2 linked regions of the Ovis aries genome follow. Each later gene encodes a partner of the first gene's protein in a complex. Links are inferred from orthologs where the notes say so. Each region holds a gene or a part of one and is shown in the gene's direction. Other genes may lie near its edges.

What was found. Proteins that work in one complex are often made in the same cells at the same time.
Region 2: the proteins of IFFO1 (region 1) and XRCC4 are in contact, whole or in part, in a crystal structure (PDB 6ABO), measured with the Homo sapiens proteins. The link is inferred for Ovis aries from reciprocal best matches to the Homo sapiens genes IFFO1 and XRCC4. Residues at the interface, in NP_001317253.1 of Homo sapiens: Arg469, Glu470, Tyr473, Ile477, Gln479, Ile480, Glu481, Glu483, Leu484, Ala487, Lys488, Asp490, Met491, Arg493, His494, Leu495, Tyr498, Met501, Lys505, Leu508, Asp509, Met512, Cys515, Arg516, Leu518, Ile519, Thr520, Gln521; in NP_001304941.1 of Homo sapiens: Trp155, Val158, Gln159, Phe162, Glu163, Cys165, Val166, Lys169, Glu170, Glu173, Leu176, Tyr177, Phe180, Val183, Leu184, Lys187, Lys188, Lys190, Ile191, Leu194, His195, Lys197, Leu198, Ala201, Ala202, Arg205, Glu212.

Annotation. Positions count from the first base shown.
Region 1 is NC_056056.1:209,680,001-209,685,387, forward strand, and holds the start of IFFO1 (non-homologous end joining factor IFFO1), read left to right. Parts: upstream 1-2,159; 5' UTR 2,160-2,219; exon of another isoform or gene 2,220-2,256; intron 2,257-2,448; exon of another isoform or gene 2,449-2,482; 5' UTR 2,483-2,486; coding exon of another isoform or gene 2,487-2,592; 5' UTR 2,593-3,991; coding exon of another isoform or gene 3,992-4,037; 5' UTR 4,038-4,214; coding exon of another isoform or gene 4,215-4,303; 5' UTR 4,304-4,451; coding exon of another isoform or gene 4,452-4,717; 5' UTR 4,718-5,387. Other genes in the region: CHD4 (chromodomain-helicase-DNA-binding protein 4), read left to right, coding at 363-526, 710-727; NOP2 (probable 28S rRNA (cytosine(4447)-C(5))-methyltransferase), read left to right, coding at 2,487-2,592, 3,992-4,037, 4,215-4,303, 4,452-4,717. UniProt on the Homo sapiens protein: Nuclear matrix protein involved in the immobilization of broken DNA ends and the suppression of chromosome translocation during DNA double-strand breaks (DSBs).
Region 2 is NC_056058.1:80,502,535-80,507,668, forward strand, and holds the start of XRCC4 (DNA repair protein XRCC4), read left to right. Parts: upstream 1-1,941; 5' UTR 1,942-2,010; intron 2,011-5,134. Other genes in the region: TMEM167A (protein kish-A), read right to left, coding at 1,714-1,716.

The DNA of each region.
Region 1 (5,387 bases):
AGGAGGGGGGTGGAGGGTGAAAGGACAGAAAGAAGGCTGGTATAAAGGAAGAAGGGAGAGCTCCAAAAGAAGATGAGAAAAGGAAACGAATAACTATTCAAGAAGTGGAGGAAATAAGACAGTAGAGATTAAGAGACAGGTGACTTTAAAATCATAGAATCATGGGCAGCTGGAACTGGAACATGAGGAATAAGAATATGTGGTGGAGCCAGGTCAGGTGACTCAGTGACAAATGACAGTATTCCAGCACATCAGTTACTCGGTCACTGAGAAGTACTAGGGGGAAGGGATGGTCCCCATATGGGAGGACGGACCTGGGTCTTGACCACCACGGCTCACCGCCTCTTTTTCTCCCCATGCAGTTCTGAAACAGCTAGAAGAACTGCTGAGTGACATGAAAGCTGATGTGACTCGACTCCCAGCCACTATTGCCCGAATCCCCCCAGTTGCTGTGAGGCTACAGATGTCAGAGCGTAATATTCTCAGTCGCCTGGCAAACCGGGCGCCTGAACCACCTCCACAGCAGGTATAGGACCATTTTCCTCTGGCCAGCTGTTGAACAGAGCCATTCTGGAAGTTGGAAACTTTGCTGTTTGTCCCTAGCTTTACAGGCTGGGCAGCGGGGTGGGCTTACCAGTGAGTCCTCTTGGGATCTAGTGGGTTGCTGTGGTCTCGAAACTCTGACTCCCTTGGCCTTCTCTTCCTATAGGTAGCCCAGCAGCAGTGAAGACCCAGATGGAAGATACCACCTCCACCGCTGAGCAGTGACCTTCCTCACTTTCCCTTGCCCAGATTCTCCCCTGGGGCCCGAGAGACCCTCTCCTTCCTTCTGCCCTATCTTCTAAGTTGTAGAGGAACAGTCCCCGGAGCACTAGGGGAGGGGAGGGAGTGAGGGGCAGTGGTGCCCTTCCTGCTGGAGAGACTGCAGCAGTAGCGCCGGCGCCATCTGCAGGGAGCTGGCGGGCTGGCCTTCTGGGCCCTGGCTTCTCCCCACTGTAACACTGTCTGTTACACACGAACTGTTGTGGGTTCCCGCCAGGCTTGAAGAAAATGATCGGAGTTTCTTCCTCCTTACGTTTTATTTTGTTGGTTGATTTTGTGTTTTCTTTTCTCCTTTTTGGGGGGTATTCACAGTGGGCCGGGCCCCTGGGCGAGACACAGCTACCTCTGTTGGCATCTTTTTAATACCAGGAACCCAGCGGCTCCAGCCCCTGAGTGGCTAGAATGAAATAAAGTGGAAAAAAAAAAAAAAAAAGGAAAAGAACCAAAAGCATAAAAAAAAAAAATTTCTTGATGAAAACTGAAAATAAAAGTTTCCTTGTATTTTAGTGCTCTGGTTCAGTGTGGGTGTAGGTGCAGGTGGGTGAGTGAGTGACGGGAGCCCTGGGACACCTGTAATTGGAGAATAGGGGTTTCCTTGTAGCATCAGAGTCCACGGAAGAATCGACTCTCCCATCTGTACACGTGTTCCGGGCAGGACGCCTTCCCCACGCCCCGCCACCCGCGGTTCACAACCTGATCCGTGGCTTCCCGGCTCTGCGAGCGTGCGGAAGCAGGCTTCTCCAAGCTGTAGAAATATCATGCATAAAATGAAAAGATCTTCCTCGCAGTGTTGTGAAGGTGGAACCAGGGCTGGAACAGTATTTTTAACAGCTGAGCGCCACCTTGGTGTTTACTTGCAGGAAGGCTGAAGTCAGTTTTTCTGTTAGCTTGCGTGGGTGAAATGTGGACACGAGATGCCTTCCTCCCGACCTCCAAGACGGGAACCTGGTCTTACCTGAGAGGCAGCGCGGGTCCTGCGGTCAAGGAAGAGGGTTTCCGCGTCACAGGCGTGGGGGCCGCCGATCTCGGGGCAACGTCAGGCGGAGGGCGCAGCTCTAGCGCCGGTGTTCGAGGGGGAAGGGGCGGCTTCCGGGTACAGTATTTCCAAATGAACTCTACGAGGCCAAAGGCCCACGCCTGGAGTGGAGGGCGGGGAAGTCGAAGACGCCTCGTGGGCACCGCCTTCGCCAGCGGGGAGAGCGGAGCGGTCCGCTCTGGAATCCTGCCCGGCTTCGCGCCGGCCCGGCGAGCAAGTGTTCCGGCTTCCTAATCGGACCGGAAGGCCGGAAGAGGCGGGACTTCGGGGCGCGCAGTGCGCCTGCGCGAGACGTTTCCGTGGGGTGGTGTCTGATCTCCTGGCCGAGCTGCACGTGGAACTCCGTGCCTTCCTCTTTCAGGTGAGCCGAGGCTTCGGGCGGGTCTGAACTAAGTCAGGTGAGGGAGAGTGAGACGCTGACTTGGATTGGGACGTGTGGAGGGGCACCTGGCGCGTGGGACCCAGGGCCTGGGGCTCAGCGTGGAGTGGAGGTTTGGCTAGGCCTCGAGAGGCTAGGGGGCTGCTGAGTCGAGGTTCTGATGGAGTCATTGCCCTTTCCTGACCGTCTGCGATCTGCCTTTCCCTTTCAGCACGTTTACCATCTCCCGTTTTTGTGTTCCCCAGGACCATGGGGCGCAAATTGGACCCTACGAAGAAGGAGAAGCGCGGGCCGGGCCGAAAGGCCCGGAAACAGAAAGGTGCAGAGACCGAACTCGCCAAATTCTTGCCTGCAGGTAAGAGTCAGGCGTGCTTCCCCTCCTGATACTCCCGCTTTTGCGTTATTCTTCCTTTATATCTTAACTCTTTAGTTTTTTTGGTCTATGTGTTCATTTTCCGTTCAAACAGAACGTTGTAATGATTTACTAGAAGACTAGTATGAATGAAATACTCTGATTAGCATTTAGAACCTAGAGGAGATGCAGCAGGGACACAAGAAGCTATGCAAGGACAGGTGTGATTCAACGTTGAGGGAGTTCCCAGGAAGGGGCAAGCCATAGAGTTAAGAGAGCTTAAAAAGATTCTGTAAAGAAGTTGGGTTTTGGGAAAAATGGATGACACTGTAGCAAGGGGAGGTTGGGAAGGGGGCAGTCCACTCACTGTGAACTGCGTTCTGGAGGAGATGGAGACGATAACCACAAATCTGGTTCCTGCATAATACTTGGTTGTCTACTGCATGGAAGACAGGGTGGGAGGGGAGAAGGGGCAGGTAGTTCATGTGCATCTTTGTATAAAAGATGTGATTAATTGAGGTGTTGGCAAGTGCTCAACACTGTGTTGAACCCTTTGGGCTCATATCACCGCAGTGTCCTATGAGAGAGGTGCTGCTTAGAAAGTGGATGCCGAGAGTTTAACTTGCAGACAATTATTAGTTGTCTGTAATTGATAATTATCAAAGAGCTGAGATTTAAATGTTAAGTTATTTAGAGAACATATGAACGGCAGCAGTTGTGGAATCTGTGGTTGGTAACTGATTGTATTGTTTAGTCGCCTCAGTGTGTCTGACTCTCTTGCGACCTCATGGACTGTAGCCCGCCAGGCTCCGTTGTCCATGGGATTTCCCATGGAATACTGGAGTGGGTTGCCATATCCTTCGCTAGGGGACGGAGCCAGGGATTGAACTTTGGTCTGTTGCATTGGCAGGTGGATTCTTTGCCACTGAGCCACCAGGGAAGCCCTGGTAACTGATTAGTTGAGAGTAAAAGAGCAGAAGAAAGAGTCTGTGTTACCAGAATGGTGCTGATGCCATTGAAACCAGTCTGGAGGGAGGCCCAGTTTGGATTTGGTTGGTGAACAACCAGACGGAGCTCGTCTCCTTGGCATCTGTTGGCCGGCTCCTGGGAGAGCACGTGGTGTGTGTGCCCTGTCATCCTCTGTTACCCCATGGACTGTAGCCCGCAAGGCTCCTCTGTCCATGGGATCCTTCAGGCAAGAATACTGGAGTGGGTTGCAATTGCCTTCCCCATCCCAACTCAGGGATCGAGCCTGAGTCTCCTGCATTGCCGCCGGATTCTTTATGGTCTGAGCCACCAGGAAAGCCCCCAGAGCACAGTGGAGTGGCTTACTGTTTACTCCCTTTAATTAGTATCCTAGTTGTTTCTCCTGTAATCTCCTATTCTGATTGTTTTTAAACAGGTGGTGATGAAAATTCTAAAAGGCTGTCAAGTCGTGCTCGAAAGAGGTGAGTGTGTCCAGACCTAGATTACACGGATTAAATCGGTCCTGCTCGTCTTTCAGCGTGTGATCCCATGTGATCAAGCTGATGGGAAGGGCTGTTGGGGACTGTCACATTTCCCCACTCTGGGAGGTGGCAGAGCCTGGAGGTGTGTTCCGTTTTCCACTTCTTATGTGTTTTTAGGGCAGCCAAGAGAAGGTTGGGCTCTGCTGAAGCCCCTGAGACGAATAAGTCCCCTGGGGCCAAACCGTTGCCTGGGAAGCTACCAAAAGGTCAGTGAAAATAAGAGCTGGGTTCTTCCTCTGGGTCCTGGGGAAGGAGGGACTTGCTGAGCATTTCTGACCTGAAAGGAACAGCCACAGGATATTCTCAGGTGTAGGGAAGGCAGGTTCTATCAGTGTTTGTCTGCCACCGGTCTAGGATTCTGCAAACCCTTTGGGGTCTCTGCAGGAGCTGTCCAGACACCTGGTAAGAAGGAAGCCTCGTCCTTATTTAACATGGCTCGAGGCAAGAAGCGCCCGGCACCAACTCATAGCAGTGCAGAGGAGGAGGAGGAAGACTCTGAAGGGGACGGTGTGGTGAACCAGGAGGACCTCTGGGGCTCCGAGGACAGTGATGCCGATATGATAGATGATTATGGAGCTGGCTCCAACTCAGAGGACGAAGATGAGGATGACGATGAAGAGGTGGGCTCCATCCCTCTGGATCTCCCAGAAGCGATCCTTGCCTTTTATTAGAGTCTTTTCCAGATTGCTTTGACTGTCTCTCAGTGATGAGGGTAAGCCTGAGGAGAGAAAAGGGACTTTGGTGTGCCATCACTGTTTCAGAGCACCGATTACCTCCTCTCGGCACATGTGCAAGTTTAGAAGAGCCATAGGGATAGAGTACTTTGAAACATGAGATTTTCCTTTTGATACAGCAATTCCACCTTAGGAATGTGATCCAGAATGTAGACAAAGGTTTACTTGTTAAAGTATAAGGAGTTATTACGTATTATACAGTTCATATATTTGTGTCATTAGAAAAGTTCAAGCAAAATTCAGTGCAAGTGTCCACTTGCACCCCTCACCCACATCCCCCTCCTCTGTACAGAGCTACCATTTTGAAGTTACCAGGCACCGTCCATGTGGACCATAATGCCAAAAGTCTGGAAGCTTCCAAAATGTCCGGTTTACTTAAGTGAATTAAAGTTCATTCATATGTGAAATCAACATTTGGCCAATATGTCTGTGAAAATGCTTGTGTTCTTACTGTGAATGAGAAAGGCAAGAGGCAAACTTGAAAATGCATCGTGATTTTAACTGTGAAAAATGACGTAGAGTAAGTGTGTAGGGAAATACGGCGAAACGGGCACCC
Region 2 (5,134 bases), on another chromosome or scaffold:
CTGATGGGCATATTATATTTGAGAGCAACAAACCACTATGACATATGTGATTTTCAGTTATGTTCTTTTCATTAACAACAGCATGAAGTCTTCTGACATGCCTGACTTCCTTCGCCTGTAAACATCTATTCAGAAGTTTCGAATGAAACAATACTTTCAAGTTGATTTTTCAAATGCACCCTGGCACACAGCAATAGCTAATAAATGAGAGTTATTATTGTTTCTCTGAATAAACCAGTATGGCCAGATGGCTCAAATACTGTTAATCTTAAGTGGTATATGTCTTGCTTCTAAATAGAACATAAGACAAAAAGAAGAATCTATCTCTGCCTGTACTATGAGTAAAATAATCCATTTCAGCCTCAAGGAGGATATATGCAAGAATTAAGAGTAACAGTCTCGTTACTCTTTTTGGATTGCAAAATGAACCACATTTTCTAAGTTAAATAATGGCTCATTCAGGACACAAGTCTATCCACTTGTGTCCTTTCATGTGATAGTTCGATTTTGGAACTGGAGAGTATCTTCGGCCAAGGAAGGAATAATTTGCCAATAAAATGTCATCCCCTCTATACATTGTAAACTTCTCCAGGGAAAAGACTGTGACTTATGCTCCAGCTATAACAGTAGCTGGCACAAAGTAAACAACAATTAATGAGTTTTCGATTCAAAGTCTAAGGGTTTTATGCTGTATGGGATTCTGCAGGAACTTCTGGGAACGTAAGCTCAACAACTTTTCACTGCAGAAAAGCTTTTGTCATGGCTGCTTTTGATACTATAATAAAAGGCACGAATCTTTTCCTCATAAACACATCTGGCATATAGACCTCCTAAATTCATGGGGAGGGCCCAGTGTAGAGGTTGTTAGCATTTACCGTGACAAAGGTGAAATGCCTGCAGACATAGCTTGGGAGATCTTTGCTATTACTACTGATTATTTCATCTGTCCTTCGTCCACGTTGGTTTTATGTATTTTTCGTAGCTTGGAGAAGTAAACATTTCTCTTGTGAACTTATTCAAGCTAATTTCAAGCTTCTCCAAGAGGCCCAAACTATTAAAGGAATCTGCAATAAGACAAAATAACACAGGAAACCTTAATAATGTATGGAAGGGAAGACCCGAGGCCAGAAACCACTCCAAGCACAGTAAGCTTCTAGAAAAGCCACCTCTACAGACAACTCCAGTGATTATATCACAGCTTATAAAGTAGCATCTTTAGAGTTGAGAGAATGGAGCTGGAGAGACCTAAAAGGCCAATTAATTCAACAAGTCAAAATTAAGGTGGCATGTCTCGAGTTTGTTTGAAAACAATGAAACACCTGGCTTAGGTCGGCAATGAGATAACAAACCGCAAAACAACAAGCGCGCAAATCCGGCAGCTCTAAAGCCTGAAAATAACCACAAAGAATAAGTAACGACGGGTTAAGCCAAACCAGCGCATTTCTTTGAAACAAGTCATTAAAGTAGCCTCTGCGTGTGAGGAGGGGCTCTGCGGCCCTGAGGCTCTTTCTTGGGCTGTCGGCTCCGGTTGTCCCAGTTTGGACGTGCAGTGGCCACATGGCTCCCGGGCCCATCTCTCCCTCTGAGCCCCAGGAGAGTCAAGTTAGCGACAGGGCTCCCCGGCCGGGGACTGCCACTCAACCCTCCACCCCTTGTACTGGTTCGCAGCCCCTGCACAAAGCTCAGTTGCGACCCCAAAGCCCCGGTTCTTACCATAGTGAGGCCGGCGGAGCCCCAGCCACATCACCCTTCCGGGCCCAGGGCGGAAGAGGCGTGCACGGCCGGCTTGCCTTTCTCTTCCCTTTCCGCGGTTTGGTTGGGCCTGTCAGGGTACCTCCTCCTGAGGCGCGGGTCTCGGGCTCTACGATAGGCTCCTCTCTTCCGGAAAGGACGGGACTTAAATGACGTCATTCAGCCCCCGCGGAAGTAGGTAACACTCTCATTGGGTGCTGGATGTCCGCCTGTGGGAGCGGGCCTTTCGGAGGAGGCCGGAAGTGGAATTACTAACAGGTAGGGTCCGGAAGTGGCGACTGACTTTTAATAGTAGTCGGCGATCCAGTTATTATTATTTTTATTTTTCTTTACTTCTCTAGAACTCCTCCGCGCTCAATTTTTTTCCGGCTTAGACTCCCCTCGATGTGTAAGCTTCTGGCCCTTCTGTTTGTAAACACTGGGGAGCACCTGAGTTCTCTGGCGTTACCCTCATGTCGTGCATCGCCTGGGCTCCCTTTTCAGTTTCTCCCTTTGCACCTGCGGGATTCTTTGTGTAAAGCGCCTTTGAAATGCCCTGTAAAGCTGTGGGATTAGGACACTTGAATTCAGGGGGTTGTGTTGAGAAGGTGTTTGATCAGTTTTCTAACATTGGCATTCTCGCTTTTAATTCTCAGCGTTTTGTAGATTGTCAGTGGGTTCGATCTGAGGCTGAAAGGTGCCCGTTGCAGTCAGGAAAGAACTTTCTGTGGGAACAAATGGAAAGGAGCTGCCTTTCCTGAGTTCAGTAATTGATTAGGTGCTTTAGAGAAATGGTCCACCTGCAAGACATATACCAACTTTTTCTTTTAATCAGTATTATTATTTAACTTTCTCTAATTTTAACAATCCCATTAGATAGGTTCTATTCCTTCTCCCCAGATTCTTTTTAGAATATTATCAGTTTTTTAATACTTTGACTCAAAGTGGATTGAGAGAAACAGGAAAGGAAGTTCATATAATGCATTGATTTATGTGCTGTTCTTGGCCAAACTATGAGACCTTTCTATATTTAGGGCAACACAGTGATTACAATATTTGGGTTTCTACTATCTGTGATTGTATTGTTGGCTACTGCCCACCAAGTTTTTTTCTTTTCTTTTTTCTTTTTTTTTAAACCATTACTAACTTTTTGTTTGAATCTACTGAATTGTCAAGAATTGGTTAAGTACACAAATTTAGCAAGTACTTAACTGAGCTTTTATTCATACCATCATGAGATTGCTGCAGAGGGATAAAGATGGCCTGTTCCTTCCAGAAATTTTATGGGCATGGGGAAGAGGGGAATAAGAAATGTATAAAAATATACTGTAACCTTGTCCTATCAAAAAAACAAGCTGTAATGCTTTGTCTTGTGATTGCTTTACAATATATTTTTAAAGTCTTAACCATTCAAATTAAATAATCTTGGCTTGGTTATGGAAATTATGTTGTGCAACTCATCAAGCTTGGTTTCCAAAGTAGTAAATGTGTCTGCAAACATCTTGCTGTCATGTAGATTGTCTTCATTTACATGGACACTTGAGGGTTATATGTGATAGCTGAAGTGCACCAGGAAATTGAAGTTGTTAAAAATCACAGTTGATTTACTGTATTTATGAATTTTAATTAATTTTAGACCATGGGCTCTTATGTACTTCAGCTTCAAAATAGGGAAGAACAATGCCAGTTATTTTAAAGTTACCCATAGAGGAAGCCAAATAGCAATAGATAAGACTGAACATACATTTATATATAAAGTTTTTCATGTAACACAACAAAGTTAATCTGACACGATCTCTTGGCAAGATCTCTAAGAAGGTGGTAATTGAGATATATGGTCATTAAGCACATGAACTCCCTACTCTTGGCTTCACTGCCAGTGAACTAATTTAAGCACTGTCTTACATTGCTATATCAAAAATCTCTTTTCTAGCAGCTCTGGTATGGAATCTTATTTCAGACTATCTTGGATCATTTTCATACACACTAAAAGTGAAATCTGGTTCTTGTAATTTCCTTCTTCAAAAATTATTGCCTCTCCTGCATCTAGAAGAGTATTTTCAACTTTGATTTCTTAGGTTCAGTAAGAAATACTATTATACTTTATATACTTTACATACTGTTATATGTAAAAATAGTACATATTTATGTTTTTCTGTGCAAAGAAGGCATGGACCTCCCTAGTATTGTCAGGTATTTGACCTGCACAAAGCGCTCAATGGGGCTTCCCTGGTGGCTCAGAGGTTAAAGCGTCTGCCTCCAATGCGGGAGACCTGGGTTCGATCCCTGGGTTGGGAAGATCCCCTGGAGAAGGAAATGGTAACCCACTCCAGTATTTTTGCCTGGAGAAGCCTGGTAGGCTACAGTCCATGGGGTCGCAGAGTCGGACACAACTGAGCAACTTCACTTCACTTCTTCACTTCATTTCAAGCACTCAATGGAGAAGGCAATGGCACCCCACTCCAGTACTCTTGCCTGGAAAATCCCATGGACAGAGGAGCCTGGTAGGCTGCAATCCATGGGGTCCCAAAGAGTTGGACAGGACTGAGCGACTTCACTTTCACTTTTCACTTTCATGCGTTGGAGAGAAAATGGCAACCCACTCCAGTATTCTTGCCTGGAGAACCCCAGGGACAGAGGAGCCTGGTAGGCTGCAGTCCATGGGGTCCCAAAGAGTTGGACAGGACTGAGCGACTTCACTTTCACTTTTCACTTTCATGCGTTGGAGAGAAAATGACAACCCACTCCAGTGTTCTTGCCTGGAGAACCCCAGGGACAGAGGAGCCTGGTGGGCTCCCATCTATGGGATCGCACAGAGTCAGACACGACTGAAGCGACTTAGCAGCAGCAGCAGCAGCAGCAGCAGCAAGCACTCAATGGGCTTCCCTGGTAGCTCATCTGGTAAAGAATCTGCCTGCAGCGTAGGAGACCCTGGTTTGATTCCTGGGTCAGGAAGATCCCCTGAAGAAGGGATATTCTCCAATATTCTTAGGCTTCCTTGGTGGCCGAGCTGGTAAAGAATCTGCCTGCAATGTGGGAGACCTGGGTTTGATCCCTGGGTTGGTAAGATCCCATGGAGAGGGGGACAGCTCCCACTACTCCAGTATTCTGGCCTGGAGAATTCCATGGACTGTTTAGTCCATGGGGTGGCAAAGAGCTGGACAGGACTGAGCAACTTTCACTGTCAAGCACTCTAAAAGGCTTGCGTGTTTTGTACCTGGCTTTTTTTGTTCAGTAAAATAAAAACCTTTTAAAGGGAGGGATAATGAAGGAGGGCCAGTTGACCTGAATGTTAGGCATTCAGTGAATGGTTTTTTAAATTAAAAGTTTAAAAAATTGAATTGATACTGCTTTTAGTACCAGACTGCTTTCTCCCGTCTCCTTTTACTTGTCTCTAGTATTG